3 linked regions of the Oryctolagus cuniculus genome follow. The protein of the gene in region 1 interacts with the protein of each later gene in a biochemical or structural test. Links are inferred from orthologs where the notes say so. Each region holds a gene or a part of one and is shown on either strand. Other genes may lie near its edges.

Region 1 (4,196 bases):
AAGAGCCGGGCTGAACTCAGCAGCAGGGCACAGGGCCTCTCACACCCCCGGCAGGTGACCCCGAGCATTCTCTCCTGCGGCCCTGGGAAATGGGGCTACTAACAAGCTGTCCAGGGCCGGAGAACATGCCGGTTCAGAGTGACAGCTCCAGGGTCCACCCAGTAATGCCTCAAATCTCCACTGGGGACTTAAAAAAAAAAATCACTGAAATTGATTCTGGTGCAAAAAACCCCGTCAAAGTCCACTAATTCAAGGGGTCTTCAAAAAGCTCCTGGGGGGCTGGCGCTGTGGCATAGCGGGTAATGCTGCCGCCTGCAACACCAGCATCCCATACGGGCACTGGTTCGGGTCCCGGCTGCTCCACCTCTGATCCAGCTCCCTGTTAACGTGCCTGAGACAGCAGTAGAAGATGGCCCAAAAGGTTGGGCCCCTGTACCCATGTGGGAGACCCAGAGGAAGCTCCTGGCTCTTGGCCCAGCCTGGCCCAGCCCTGGTCATTGTGGCCATTTGGGGAGTGAACCAGCAGATAGAAGACCTCTCTCTCTCTCTAATTCTGCCTTCCAAATAAATAAATCTTAAAAAAAAATTATCCAAGTATTTTGATTTTTTTGCATGAAAATAAAATGCCTGCCTGTTTGTGGGAGGACAATGAGAGAGGAGACACCCCCCACAGCACACCTGCTCAGAGAACATCTGGCCCGGCCTAGATCTCCTGTGTTCTCTCAAAGGGAAATGCAGTGACTTGCCCCAGGTCACACGGCAAGCTGGGTGAGTATGGAAATCTCCCGTCCCTGGTCTGTGGCAGGGCTCTGGCCATGGCACCCAAATCCCCACCCTTGGATGGAGGACTGGACTGGGACCAGCAGGTGGTATGGGTGGGTGGCGAGGAGGCGACGTGTGTCGCAAGGCCAGGTTGAGCCAGGCCGGAAGTGGACAAGGAGCAAGAAAAGCACTCTTGGGGGAGGGCATTAAGGCTAAGCTGTCCCTCCCTGGGCAAGGGGCAGGTGCGCGGGTGACCAGGGCGAGGCTCTGAGCAGGAAGTCCCAGAGAAAGATAAGGACCAGCTCCCGCGTGGGGGAGGGGTGAGGCAGCCACAGAGACACCTGCTTGGGGGCTGTTCCGGGCCTCAGTCCCCTCATCCTTGGGACCCAAAGGCAGGGGTAGCACCTGACACGCAGTAGGCCCTCAAGAAAAAGCAGTTTTCTTCCTCCCTGCTGTCTTTCCAGTCTGGGGATCCAGAGAGAAAGAATCACCAGTCTGTTCAGCAAGAAGTGACCGTGGGCAGAGCAGGTCACATAACTGCAGACAGCAGAAAACAAAGAGCCCAAAGAGACCTTGGCGCCCAGGCTCCCCATGGAGGCTTGGGGCAAAGAAGGGACCTGTCCAAGGTCCCCCTGCCTGACAGCCGCAGGTCAGGGGGGGAGGGGCCTCTGGCCTGTCACTGCCTTCATTTGGGAGGGTGGCAGGGCAGGGGGGAGCCCAGCTCTGGAGGCCCAGGGGTAGGATACACATCCCTCATGGCTTCCAGGGTGGGAGCCCGAAGAATGTCCCGGATGCCGATGACGTTCTCATGGGAGAAGCGTAGCAGGATCTGGATCTCCCTCAGCGTGCGCTGGCAGTAGGTCTGGTGTTCGAAGGGACTGATCTTCTTGATGGCCACGCGGGTCTTGCGCACGTGGTCATAGGCTGAGCTGAGAGGCCCAGAGAGACGTCGCTGCTGGTGTGGCCATGATGGTGGTGGTGATGGGGGGGGGGGAGCGGGAACCAGGCCCAGCGGGCCCCACCCAGGCCAGGGGCAGGGAGGGAGGGGACAGAGCAGGAGAGGGCTCTGGCCAAGTTATAAACAATGCTCGTTCCTTCCTGCTGTGAAGGCCTGGGCTCTCCAGGGAGAAAGCTGGGGACCAGCCAGGCCGCCTTTCGGTGACTTCACAAACAGAGGAAGACTGGCCACTCGCTGACTTCCCCTCTGCTTGACCCCCTTCCATTCTGCCCAAGCCCGGGCCTCCCTCCCCACCATGGGCTGCCTCAACCCACCACAGGGCCAGGGAGCGGGACCGAGGGGCGGGTCTGGGCCGAGGACAGCAGAGCAACTTCCGGTCGGTGCAAAGGCCCAAAGCACACAGTAGGGCTGGGCCAGCTCCCAGACCCCTCCCCAAGATGCAGGCAAGCAGGCACTCCCCACCTCTCCTCAGGCCCGGAGGCCCGAAGCCTCGCCCCACCCAGAGCCCTGCCTGTGCCGCTCCACTCCTGGGCACAGCCTCGCTTGGGGACTCCAAGGCACCCTAAGGTCCCCTCTCTCAAAAGAGGGTCCTCGTTCACCAAGACTACTGATTCTCGTCGCCCCACGCGGGTCTCTAGGGCCACCGCTCCCTCAACCCCAGACACCCAAATACCGCTGCTCCCTTCGGGGCGGAGGGCTCCCGTTCAAAGCCTCCAAGCCCCCTCCCCTAGGAACATGGGCAGCGCCCCCTCCCCCAGAAAGCACCCCAGGGCTCCTATCCCGGGCATACTCCACCAAGCCTCCAGAGTGCCCAGGTTCTACAGGCCACTCCAAGTCTCCACGGCCCAACGAGCCCCCTGCAGCCCTCCTCCGCCCCCTCCTCCGGGGTTGCCCCCTCCCTTGAGGCCGCCCCCTCCCCCGGAACGCCCCCTCACCTGACCATGCCGTACGCGCCCTCGCCGATGTACTGCAGCTGCGTGTAGCGTGGGCCCACGTCGAACGGCTGCCCCTTCACGACCTCCACTTCCCCGGGGACCCCCGGGCCGACCCCATCGGCTCCCCGGGGCTCCCCGCCCCCGCCCCCCTGAGCCGCCGCCGCCGCCGCCATCTCCACTCCTCCCCTCCCGCCCGCCCTCCCCACGGCGGCCCCGCCCGAGGCCCCGCCCCTTCCCGCCCGCGGGGCCGCGCGCGCCAGGCCCCGCCCCCGCGCGCCGCCCCCGCGCGCCCCCGCGCCCCCGCGCCCTGCGCGCGCCGCGGAGCCGGGGCGCGCGCCCGCGGACGTCACGTGGCCCTCCCCGCGCGCGTCCGGCTTTCCCGCCGCCGGGCAGCGGTGCTTGGTCGCTGCGGGCTTCCGTGTGCTGGGAGCGGGCGCGCCGGGCGGCTGTAGGCGCGGTCCATACCCCCTCGATTTCTAGGCAGCTGGCGGGTGACTTCCCCAGGGCCACCCGGCCAAGGTGTGCTGGGGCCGGACGCCCCCCACCCCGGAGTGCCTGGCCTTCTGGGACCAGAGCTGCTCCTGTGGGAGCCCCCTGGGGGTCCTCTCGGCCCTTGGTGGTTTGGCCTCCTTGAGCCAGCTCTGCTCGGCTGCCGAGGGAGTGTACTTGAAATCAGAGCCGCGTGGAGACCCACCTGCCGTTTAAGGGTGAGGCCGAAGCCCGAGGTGCTGCTGCCGGCGTGGGGTCCAGGCCCTGGCCCTCCCAGCAGCTGCAGCAGGGCCAGCTGTTGCCCCCACGTGCGTGCCAGGTGGGCAGGTTTCGTTAAAATACACTTGAAGAAGGAAAGAATCTGGGGCGGCGCTGTGACATAGCAGGTGCATCCGATATGCATCTCGGCTGCTCCACTTCCAATCCCGCTCCCTGCTAATGGCCTGAGAAAGCAGCCAAAGACAGCCAAAGTGCTTGGGCCCCTGCGTCCATGTGGGCCCATCCAGATGAGTCTCCTGGCTCCCGCCTGGCCCAGCTCTGGTTATTGGGGCCATTTGGGGACTGAATCAGGAGATGGAAGATTGACTTTCTCTCTCTCTGCCTCTCCTTCTCTGTAACTCTTTTAAAGTAATTAATCAATTAATCTTAAAAAGAAAAATCCAGCTTGTTGGATTTGGCAAAATTGAACTCACAAGAGGGTTGTCATCTTCCTGATTCTCTCAGTAGGCTGAGAGGGGCCAAGGTCAATCTTGTTCCTCACTGGATCCCCACCTCCCACCCCCATGCCTGGCACTGAAACATTAAAAAAATTTTCTTTTTGATGAATGAATCAAATTTTAAAAATATATTTCCTTTTTATTTGAAAGGCAGAGTTACACACAGAGAGAGATCTTCCATCCACTGCTTCACGCCTCAAATGGCCCCAATGGCCAGAGCTGGGCCAGGTGGAAGCCAGGAGCTTCTTCCAGGTCTCCCATGTGAGTGCAGGGACCCAAGCACTTGGACCATCTTCTATTGCTTTCCCAGGCCACAGCAGGGAGCTGGGTCGGAAG
Region 2 (4,295 bases), on another chromosome or scaffold:
CAACCACTCCAAGAATCTATTCCTACCTGCCCTACTTCCTGTTTTCTCCTTAGCACCTGTTTAACAGACCATCTTATTTCGCTTGTCTTGTTTACACGGTCTGCCTCCAAGGGCATGGATTTCTGCCTGTTTCATTCCTTCTCATATCCCTTCTCCATTCTGTCCCTGATATCAAGGTCTGAAATTCTATTTTTCACATCTATTCATGCAATAAATTCTTACTGAGCACCTACTGTATACCAGCTACCTTTTTTGTGTGTGTGAACTGGAAACACAGCAGCCAATAAGCAGACAAAAAGCATAAGTTCTCATAGGACTACCCTTCTAATGGGGAGAAACAGTAAACTGGCCAGTGTCAGAAAGCAGAAAAGGGCAAAGGGACAAGCAAAACAGGAGAGGGGCCTGAGCTCTGCTAAGTGTGCAGGATCAGGGGGTGGCCAAGAGAAGTTGGTTCTTTTTTTGCTAGAAACAGCATTCTGAGCAACTTTTTGTAAGGCGTGTGCCTTTAAGTAGTGTATCCCAAGCACCACAGCATGATGGAACAGACTGTTTACTGCAATAACACGACCCAGATGAAACCAAGTTCAAGCGCTCCTTTTTTTTTTTTTTTTTTTGACAGGCAGAGTGGACAGTGAGATAGACAGAGAGAAAGGTCTTCCTTTTGCCGTTGGTTCACCCTCCAATGGCCGCCGCGGCCGGCGCGCTGCGGCTGGCGCACCGCGCTGATCCGAAGGCAGGAGCCAGGTACTTCTCCTGGTCTCCCATGGGGTGCAGGGCCCAAGCACCTGGGCCATCCTCCACTGCCTTCCCGGGCCACAGCAGAGAGCTGGCCTGGAAGAGGGGCAACCGGGACAGAATCCGGCACCCCAACCGGGACTAGAACCCGGTGTGCTGGCGCCGCAAGGCAGAAGATTAGCCTACTGAGCCATGGCGCCGGCCTCAAGCGCTCTTTAGAAGCTGCTTTTCCACCTGTGCCTTTAGGCGAGCTGGTATTACAGGTATTCGTTTTGGGAACGCATTCTTTTGCTAAAGCAACATGCACCTACCTTGTTCACATATAAACTGGCCTTCTCCGAAGCTGATTTTGCATGTGTCTTCACATAGTGTGTGCCATGCACCTGTGCCATTTGAACAGAGCCCTGAAAGGAGCCAAGCAAAGCTCCCAGAGGAGTGGGAGAAGAAGCAATGCAAAGGGCCCGAGGTTGGGCACGTCTACTGTGTCTGAAGACCAGTGCCGAGGTGGCCAGTGTAGCCAGGAGCACAGTTAGAGGGGGTGGGGTGGTGGAGGCCAGAGAAGTGACTTGTTTCATTAACTCACAGGTATTCTGTATTTATGCTGGAGGGGGTTCTAGTCGGTTCCGTCATTTTACAAATGAGAAACCAAGTGCAGGGAGAACATGATTAAATCATGCCTGTGGGGTCACCCAGCTAAAAGGACTGGGGCTGGCTGGGTGCTGAGACAAGGTGTGGCATGGAGACAGCTCTGCAGGCACCGGAAACGGAAAAAAAAAAAGAAAAAACCATGGAGGTGGGAACTACTTTGGTTTTAAAGGAGTAGGGTCTCACACGGGGTGGGATGAAGTGAGAGAGGGGAGCTTCAAAAACTGTTCTGTGCCCCTAGCACTTACTGGGCCACCCTTGAATAAGGCATTTAACTCCCTATGCTCCCATTTCTGCAGTACCTATCTCCTAAGACTGGTGAGGACCGACTGAGTTCCCTAAAATAAAACACTTTGCCTGGTACATAGCAGATGCTCAATAAATGTTAGCTCCTCTTGGTATTCTCATCACCACTATCGCTAATGTATTCATTCATTGTGGTGGTGGCAGGATATCCGGGTGGCTAAGAGTGTGTACGAAGGAGAGTGCTCCACAAGGAAAGGGGGAGGAAGAGAAAAATGTACAGGCTAACCCTCCTGGGGGAGGTATGTAAGGCAGAGTGGGAATGCAAGAACACGGGGGGGGGGGGGGGCAGGAAGGCCATGGTACAGATACCTTACAGGGCTAACATTCATCTGCTAGCAGGGAGAGGAGTAGAAAAAACTTATTGACTCCTGTAGGAAAAAGGAGAAAGCCCAAGGACTGGAGTGGCAGTGTACAAAACAGGGAGGCCACGCAGGGCAATGGGCTGCTAGCTCGGGGGATGTGAGCCCAAGCCTGGAGACAGATGCACCGTAAAAAGGGAGGGCGCGTTGACAAGGCCATGCACTGATACATTAGGGGACTGGAGAAGGCAAGGACATACTCAGGTGGACTCACTGTTAAACAGGAGTGTGTATGTCTGTGCGTGTGTGTGTTGGTGGTGGGATATAGCGCCACGGATTGATTCGCTATGGGGAACAGGACGGGTGGAATAAACAAGGCCACAGAGGGGCCCCCGAAAGTTAAGGGTGCAAGAAACGCAAACACTCAGACGCACCTACTATTAAGGGGGCTGGACAATGCCACAAACTGGCTCTCTATAAGTGGGGGTGGGGGGTGGGGCAAGCCAATGGACGAGTCCACTGTAAATTGGGGTGTGGAGAATAGAAGCACGCAGACCGATCCATTATACCGCGGAAGGGGGACGATTAGGCCACGGTCAGATCCACTATAAGAGGCGAAGGGAGGAGAGGGCATGTCATACGCAGGTCCACCAGCTGTGGTGGGGCGGCAGTGGGGAGTGGAACACTAGCAGGCCACGGGCCAAGCCACATTCCCCGCGCGGGGGCGGGAAGATACATGGGGTCATGGACAGGACCCTCCACCCTCCAGGCCGGGGCTCACCTGTGCGTAGCGCTGCAGTGGCGGTGGCGTAGCTGGTGTTAATAGCTCCGGGGGGCGGGGGCTCCATACGCGGCCCCACCGCCCCCCAGGCCCGGGTTCCGAGGCGGCGGCGGTGGTGGCGGTGGCGGCGGCAGCACCTAGAAGCCGCCCCTGCGTTTCCCCACCGCTCACGTGGGCCTGTGGAGGAGGAGCCCAACGTCCCGCCGCTTGCTGATTGGCTAAAGAGCCAAGGCTAGAACGCACGGCTTAGGGGCTCAGCGGGGCGGACCCTGCCCCACAGAGCCATTCCGTGATTGGCCGAAGGAGAAATGATGTGCGCGGACGGACACCCAAGTCCCGAGGCGGCATGCTAGCCCTCGCCGGTGCTCCACGCTGATTGGCTCAAAGAGAACCGACAGATCGTGGTTAATTGATAAGCTTGGGGGCGCCTGCCTCACACTGATTGGCCTAAACGGAATTGATGGCAGACAGACAGCCCCTAAGAATGGCGGGCGCGCGGGCCGGGGTGGGGTGCGGTGCTGTTCTCCGCTGATTGGAGGATTAGACTCCTAGACAGCTGCCAAAACACCAAGCAGGCGGTGCTGCACGCCACGCTGCTTAGCGGAAGCAGGACTTGTATAGAAATGGGCGTAGCAGCCAGCCGGGCTCTGCGTAGGCGGGCAGGGTAACTCTATAGTGATTGGCTAGAAGGGACGAATTTAGAAGGGAGCGGGGGTAGGAGGGCAGGATGGCTGCCAGACTCGCAAAGGAGCGTTGAGAAACTAAGTGCTCACAGAAAAGACAGGGTCAAGCTGTGGCTAGAGTTATTAAGGGGGCGGAACCTGGCTCTGTGCTGACTGGGGGGCTGGACCAGGGAGGGCAGAATTTGGCTCTGCGCCTATTGGTGGAAACTGGAAGCAGAGGCCAAGGTTGGGCTGAGCCTGGCGTGGGTGTAATTGATGGTACCTGAGGAACGATTGGGATTTGGGAGAAGGGTTAAACCTTAGGGCTAGGAGTGAAAGGCTGATTGCCATGGGAACAAACCTCCACCCTGAACCTGTCCATTCTCCATGGCAATTCAAAGGGCGATAGCCAGTAAAAGGAATGCAAGGAAGGGTGTGTGTGTGTGAGGTTGCCATGGTGACAGAGGGCAGAGCCTAAAGTCAAGTAGCAAATGCTGCCAGGCAATAGGCCGGAGGCAGGACTTCCAGGGTGCTTTAAAGGATCCATAGAGAAACTAGATCTTCCAATTAATGCTGGACTCTGGAAACAGGGTGCCTTGGCAACCCGCAGGAGTTAGGGGGAAAAAGAAGGGCCATGTGACTCAAAGGCATTCAGGATCTTTAATGTCGGAGGATGCGGTAAGTAGTCAATGGTGAGGCTTCTCTGGGAAATTCTGCAGGCCTTGTAGTTCTCTAAGCCCCTGAAAAAAAGGACAGAAAGGATTTAACAAGGGACGGGTCCAGGCCCCACCTCAGGCTTGCTCTGACCTCCCCGCCCTTGGATCCAGTTTAGAAGGAAAGATGGTCCTTTCCTTCGTCGGCTCTCTC
Region 3 (4,195 bases), on another chromosome or scaffold:
CACCACCCACAAGGATGCTAGGGACTCCCAGGCCCCTGCTCGCCACCCTGACCTGGGCACCAGAGTCCGGGCTACCCCAGCCCTAACCAGCCGCCTCCTTGGGACATGCACCTGCTCTGCAGAGGGGCTCAGGCGCCAGGAAGAAGGAGCCAGGCCCTGTCCCTGCTTCCAGGAGCAAGGGCAGATGCTAAAGACCTCTGAGCCCCAAAGCGGCATCCTTGTCCTTCCCCTCAACCTTCTCCCCCACAGGCAAGCAGAGGCCAGCCCCCTCCCCACCGCCCCCTCGGGGTGCCCACCTCCTGAGCCTTTTATACATCATGTCTTTGTTGCTGTCACTGTGTGACGGCTGAATCAGAGAAGTGGGAGGAGGAGAGAGGATGCGGGTTGTGCCTGGCAGAGGCCGGGCCGGGAAATGTGTCGGGAATGCTGCAAGGAGCGAGCAGACGTGCGGCCATCATGAGCCTGCTGGGCTGCTGGCCAGGCTGGGGCAGGGGTCAGTGGAGTCTTGGACTTGGGGGCCGCTCCCCAGGCTCCAGGCATCCAGGTGCCCTGGCAGTGAAGAGGACGTGTGGAGACGGCTGGTGTGAGGCCAGGCTGTCTACAGTGTGTAAGTCTATTGGGTGGATGTCATGGCTCTCTGAGGGGGTCTGGCTGGGGCTGGAGCCCGGGGGACACCTCTCAGACTCTCCCCAAGGGGGTCTGCTCTCTGCTCCCCCGTGCTGAGGAACTTGGGGACTGGAGAGACCTGGAGAGGCCTTTGTCTCTAGTCATGGAACCCCAGACCCCTGCCTCCGCTTTTTCCTGCATCACCGCTCTGGGGGGAGGCGGCCTATGCTTGGCCCAAGGCTTACAGCGGCGAGGGCTTCCAGAGAGAGGGCTCTGGGCAGGAGCGAAGAAGTAGAAAGAAGTCTGAAGCCAAAGTCAGGTGACGCAGGAGCGAGCTGGGTCCTTGGTGGGACGGAGTGGAGCTGGGGCAGGGCTGGGCAGGCCTAAGGCCCAGAGGAGAAACCCCCAGGAGTGAAGAGGGTATGGGAGCCAGAGGAATGGGGTGGTCAGGGCCTGGGCCCGGCAAAGGAGCTGAGACACAGCCTGGCCGCCCTGGGCAGGCGCAGGCAGAAGGCACGGGACCCCTGGTGGTGACAGCAGCAGGCGCAAGAGGGCAGCACACAGCTGGGGTATGCGTGGGTGGCAGTGCGGAGGGGCGGAGGGAGGAAGCTGGCTTCCTGGAGCCTCCCCAGTCTCAGAGACAGACCGACAGACAGCTGGCAGGAGGCAGCCTGGTGGACACGGCTGCTTCAGTGAGTACCAGAGGGGCACCTGGCAGTGCTACCGCCCTGGGGTGGCGTGGGCCCCGAGGGACCGGCCGGGGCCTCCAGGTAGGGCGTGCACGAGGGTGAGTCGGGGGCTGCTGTGTCGGGTGGGGACTGGGTGCTGGCACATCCGAGGGCCCGAGGCTGGGAGCGCAGGGCAGCCACAGGCAGCTGCAGGAGAACAGAGGCCAGAGGATCCGCACCTGCTGGGGAACACTCTCAATGCACCACACCTGCCCGGGGCCCACGCTGTCCCCTCACCTCTGTCCCTGCGGGCCCACAGTTCCCACCCACCCCCGTGCTATCTCGCAGCTGGGACCCTGGCTTGGGGAGATGGGGGCTGCCCCCCAGGAGGAGGTGGTCCCATCACCTCCGTGCCCCCCTCTCGTGCCCCGGGCTGTCGCCTCACCACGCGCTGTCACTCAAGGGCTTGGTGAGGCCATTTCCTGTGACGGTTACAGAGGCGGGAGATAGGGGGGATGGGCAGGAGGAGGAAGGAAACATCCCCAGCCGACCTCCCTGGACAGAGACCCCAGAAGCCAGAAATGAACTTGGAAGTGGAAATGCCGGCAGCTGGGGGAGGATCCTGCTGGCGGCCAGCAGCCCGGCTTGCTCGGGGTCCTGACTGGCCCTCCAGCCACCAGAGGCTTCCACCTCCTCCTGCAGGAGAGATCTGGGGCGCCTTCCCCTCTGCTTCTGCATGGAGCCCAGCTTTCCTACGTCCTCCCTCGCCTTCTCTCACCCGGACCCCAGCTTCCAGCCCTGGGCTCCTTGGTCTCCGGCCTCTCTGCTCTCTCTTCCTCCTTCTGCTGTCTTTCCTACCTTCACCCATAATCTCCAGCCCTTATCACACCCTTACTCTCACCCAAAACCGCCTGCTGCCCTGGGTCCCACCAGAGAGGTGCGGGCCCTCCCATGGTGACAAGGAGGCCGTGTGCTGGGGGACACAGACCTCCCACAGAGGAAGCAGAGGCACTTAGAGACAGAAGGCAGCCAGAGGCCAGCCACTGAGGGTCCCATCTTTCAGGGGGACCTCCTGGCCAACCGAGCCTCCTCTGGGCCCAGCACCCCACCCCAGCATGGTCCAGGCCTGTGGCAGCAGCGCTCCAAAACACAGCCAGCAACCTCGCCGTGGGGGGCAGTCATGACCCAGCCTCTGCCGGCCAAAGCACCTGCCAAGAGGCATGTGCGGCTGCAGGAAAGGTGAGCTCTTCCCCGGGAGGGGGCCCCTGCCTCCATGAGCCTCCGCTCAGCCGCGGGCCCCAATCTGGACAGGAAACCAGTGGCGCTCATTTGCATGTGCTTTGCATGTCTGGGGCATGAGGCTTCACGTCAACCCTGAGCCCCGTCCCTACATCCAGGTGGGGCAAGGCCAGGGGCCCTCCTGGTGCCCGAGCCTCAGGGCTTGGGGTGGCAGCGGAAAGGGGCCGGCCGCTGGAAGGAGCAGTCGGCGTCGAGGTTGAGCAAGGGAGAAGGGCGTGCAGCAGGCCTGGCCCCTGGCACCCACTGGGCCCCTGGGTCATGGGGAAGATGCGGAGCAGCTTCCTCCCATGTGCCCTGGAATGACAACACTTGCAAGGGAAGCCAGTACCCCGGGTGCTCACTCGGCTCCGGGTGGCTGTGCCTGCAGGCGGGGCTCCAACGTGGCTCTGATGCTGGACGTCCGGTCGCTGGGGGCCGTGGAGCCCATCTGCTCGGTGAGCACCCCGCGGGAGGTCACCCTGCACTTCCTGCGCACAGCTGGACACCCCCTGACCCGGTGGGCTCTGCAGCACCAGCCGCCCAGCCCCCAGCAGCTGGAGGAGGAATTCTTGGTAAGAACTTGGGGCGCGCTCTGCCACACTCTGCCTTCCTGGTGCAGAGCAGCCAGCCGGCTCCCTTCTCCAGCAGGTATGGGGGGCAGGTCCTCCTCTTTGGGCTCCGTAGGAAAGAGAAGTCCAGGGCTCCGGGCTGGAGGCTGCCCGCAGGCTTCCTCTTCTGCCCTCCCCAACATCCGCACCTCCACACAAACGCCAAGAAGGCACAGCCAGGGCCCAGCTCCACCAGGAAAGGGTGCAAGGGGAGCAAAGGAGGCTGGGAAGGTAGTGCCGCTCACCCACTTCCTCTCGCCCTGCCAGAAGATTCCCTCCAACTTTGTCAGCCCCGAGGACCTGGACATCCCTGGGCATGCCTCCAAGGACCGCTACAGGACCATCTTGCCAAGTAAGGGCTGCGCCTGAGACCCAGGGAGGTGGGCACCGTGCTGGGGCTGGCAGGTGCACAGGCTGACCTCGCTTGGAGCACCGTCTTCCGGCAGACAAATAGCAGTACCACCCCTGGTGGGGGGAAGAGGAGGTGAAATCCCAGGAGCGACAGCAGTCCCTTTGCAGGTGCTTGCTGTGGGCCAGGCACTGCCTTCATAGTAACTCATTTTCCTTTTTTAAAGGCTGATTTTTTTTTTGTTTGAGCGGCAGAGTGATAGATTGGCGGGGAGGGAGAGAGAAGAGAGAGAAGATAGAGAGAAAGATCTTCCATCCAGTGGTTCACTCCCCAAAGGCCTGCAACAGCCAGGTCGGAAGCCAGGAGCCAGGAACTCCATCCATGGGTAGTAGGGGCGCAAGGACGTGGACCATCCTCTGCTGCCTTCCCAGGCGCACATGCAGGAAGCTGGGTGGGACGCGGAGCAGCCGGGACTCCCACCAGCACTCCGCTATGGGATGCTGGCATCGCGCGGCAGCTCCACCCATCGCCTACCACACCACAGTCTACACAGTAACTCCAGGGAGCTGGCGCTTTTACAGGCGAGGGAACCGAGGCGTGGAGCAGTTGGTGGGCTTGCCCCGGTCACACAGCCTCCTTCCATGGGTTTGCAATGGGAGAGGCACTGCCAGGATGGCTGGTCAGAG

Evidence for each region. The genes of interacting proteins can lie anywhere in the genome.
Region 2: of the proteins of MAPK3 (region 1) and ELK1, one has a biochemical effect on the other in vitro, tested with the Homo sapiens proteins (6 studies listed by BioGRID and IntAct, with this or other methods). The link is inferred for Oryctolagus cuniculus from reciprocal best matches to the Homo sapiens genes MAPK3 and ELK1.
Region 3: the proteins of MAPK3 (region 1) and PTPN7 form a complex in vitro, tested with the Homo sapiens proteins (3 studies listed by BioGRID, with this or other methods). The link is inferred for Oryctolagus cuniculus from reciprocal best matches to the Homo sapiens genes MAPK3 and PTPN7.

What each region holds. Positions count from the first base shown.
Region 1 is NC_091450.1:7,472,696-7,476,891, forward strand, and holds the start of MAPK3 (mitogen-activated protein kinase 3), read right to left. Parts: upstream 2,829-4,196; coding exon 2,656-2,828; intron 1,692-2,655; coding exon 1,509-1,691; intron 1-1,508.
Region 2 is NC_091453.1:33,155,428-33,159,722, forward strand, and holds the start of ELK1 (ETS domain-containing protein Elk-1), read right to left. Parts: upstream 2,987-4,295; 5' UTR 2,767-2,986; intron 1-2,766. Other genes in the region: protein UXT, read right to left, coding at 4,042-4,168. UniProt on the Homo sapiens protein: Transcription factor that binds to purine-rich DNA sequences. Forms a ternary complex with SRF and the ETS and SRF motifs of the serum response element (SRE) on the promoter region of immediate early genes such as FOS and IER2.
Region 3 is NC_091444.1:17,996,917-18,001,111, reverse strand, and holds the start of PTPN7 (tyrosine-protein phosphatase non-receptor type 7), read left to right. Parts: upstream 1-1,209; 5' UTR 1,210-1,298; exon of another isoform or gene 1,299-1,376; intron 1,377-2,337; 5' UTR 2,338-2,454; coding exon 2,455-2,513; intron 2,514-2,940; coding exon 2,941-3,124; intron 3,125-3,427; coding exon 3,428-3,512; intron 3,513-4,195. UniProt on the Homo sapiens protein: Protein phosphatase that acts preferentially on tyrosine-phosphorylated MAPK1. Plays a role in the regulation of T and B-lymphocyte development and signal transduction.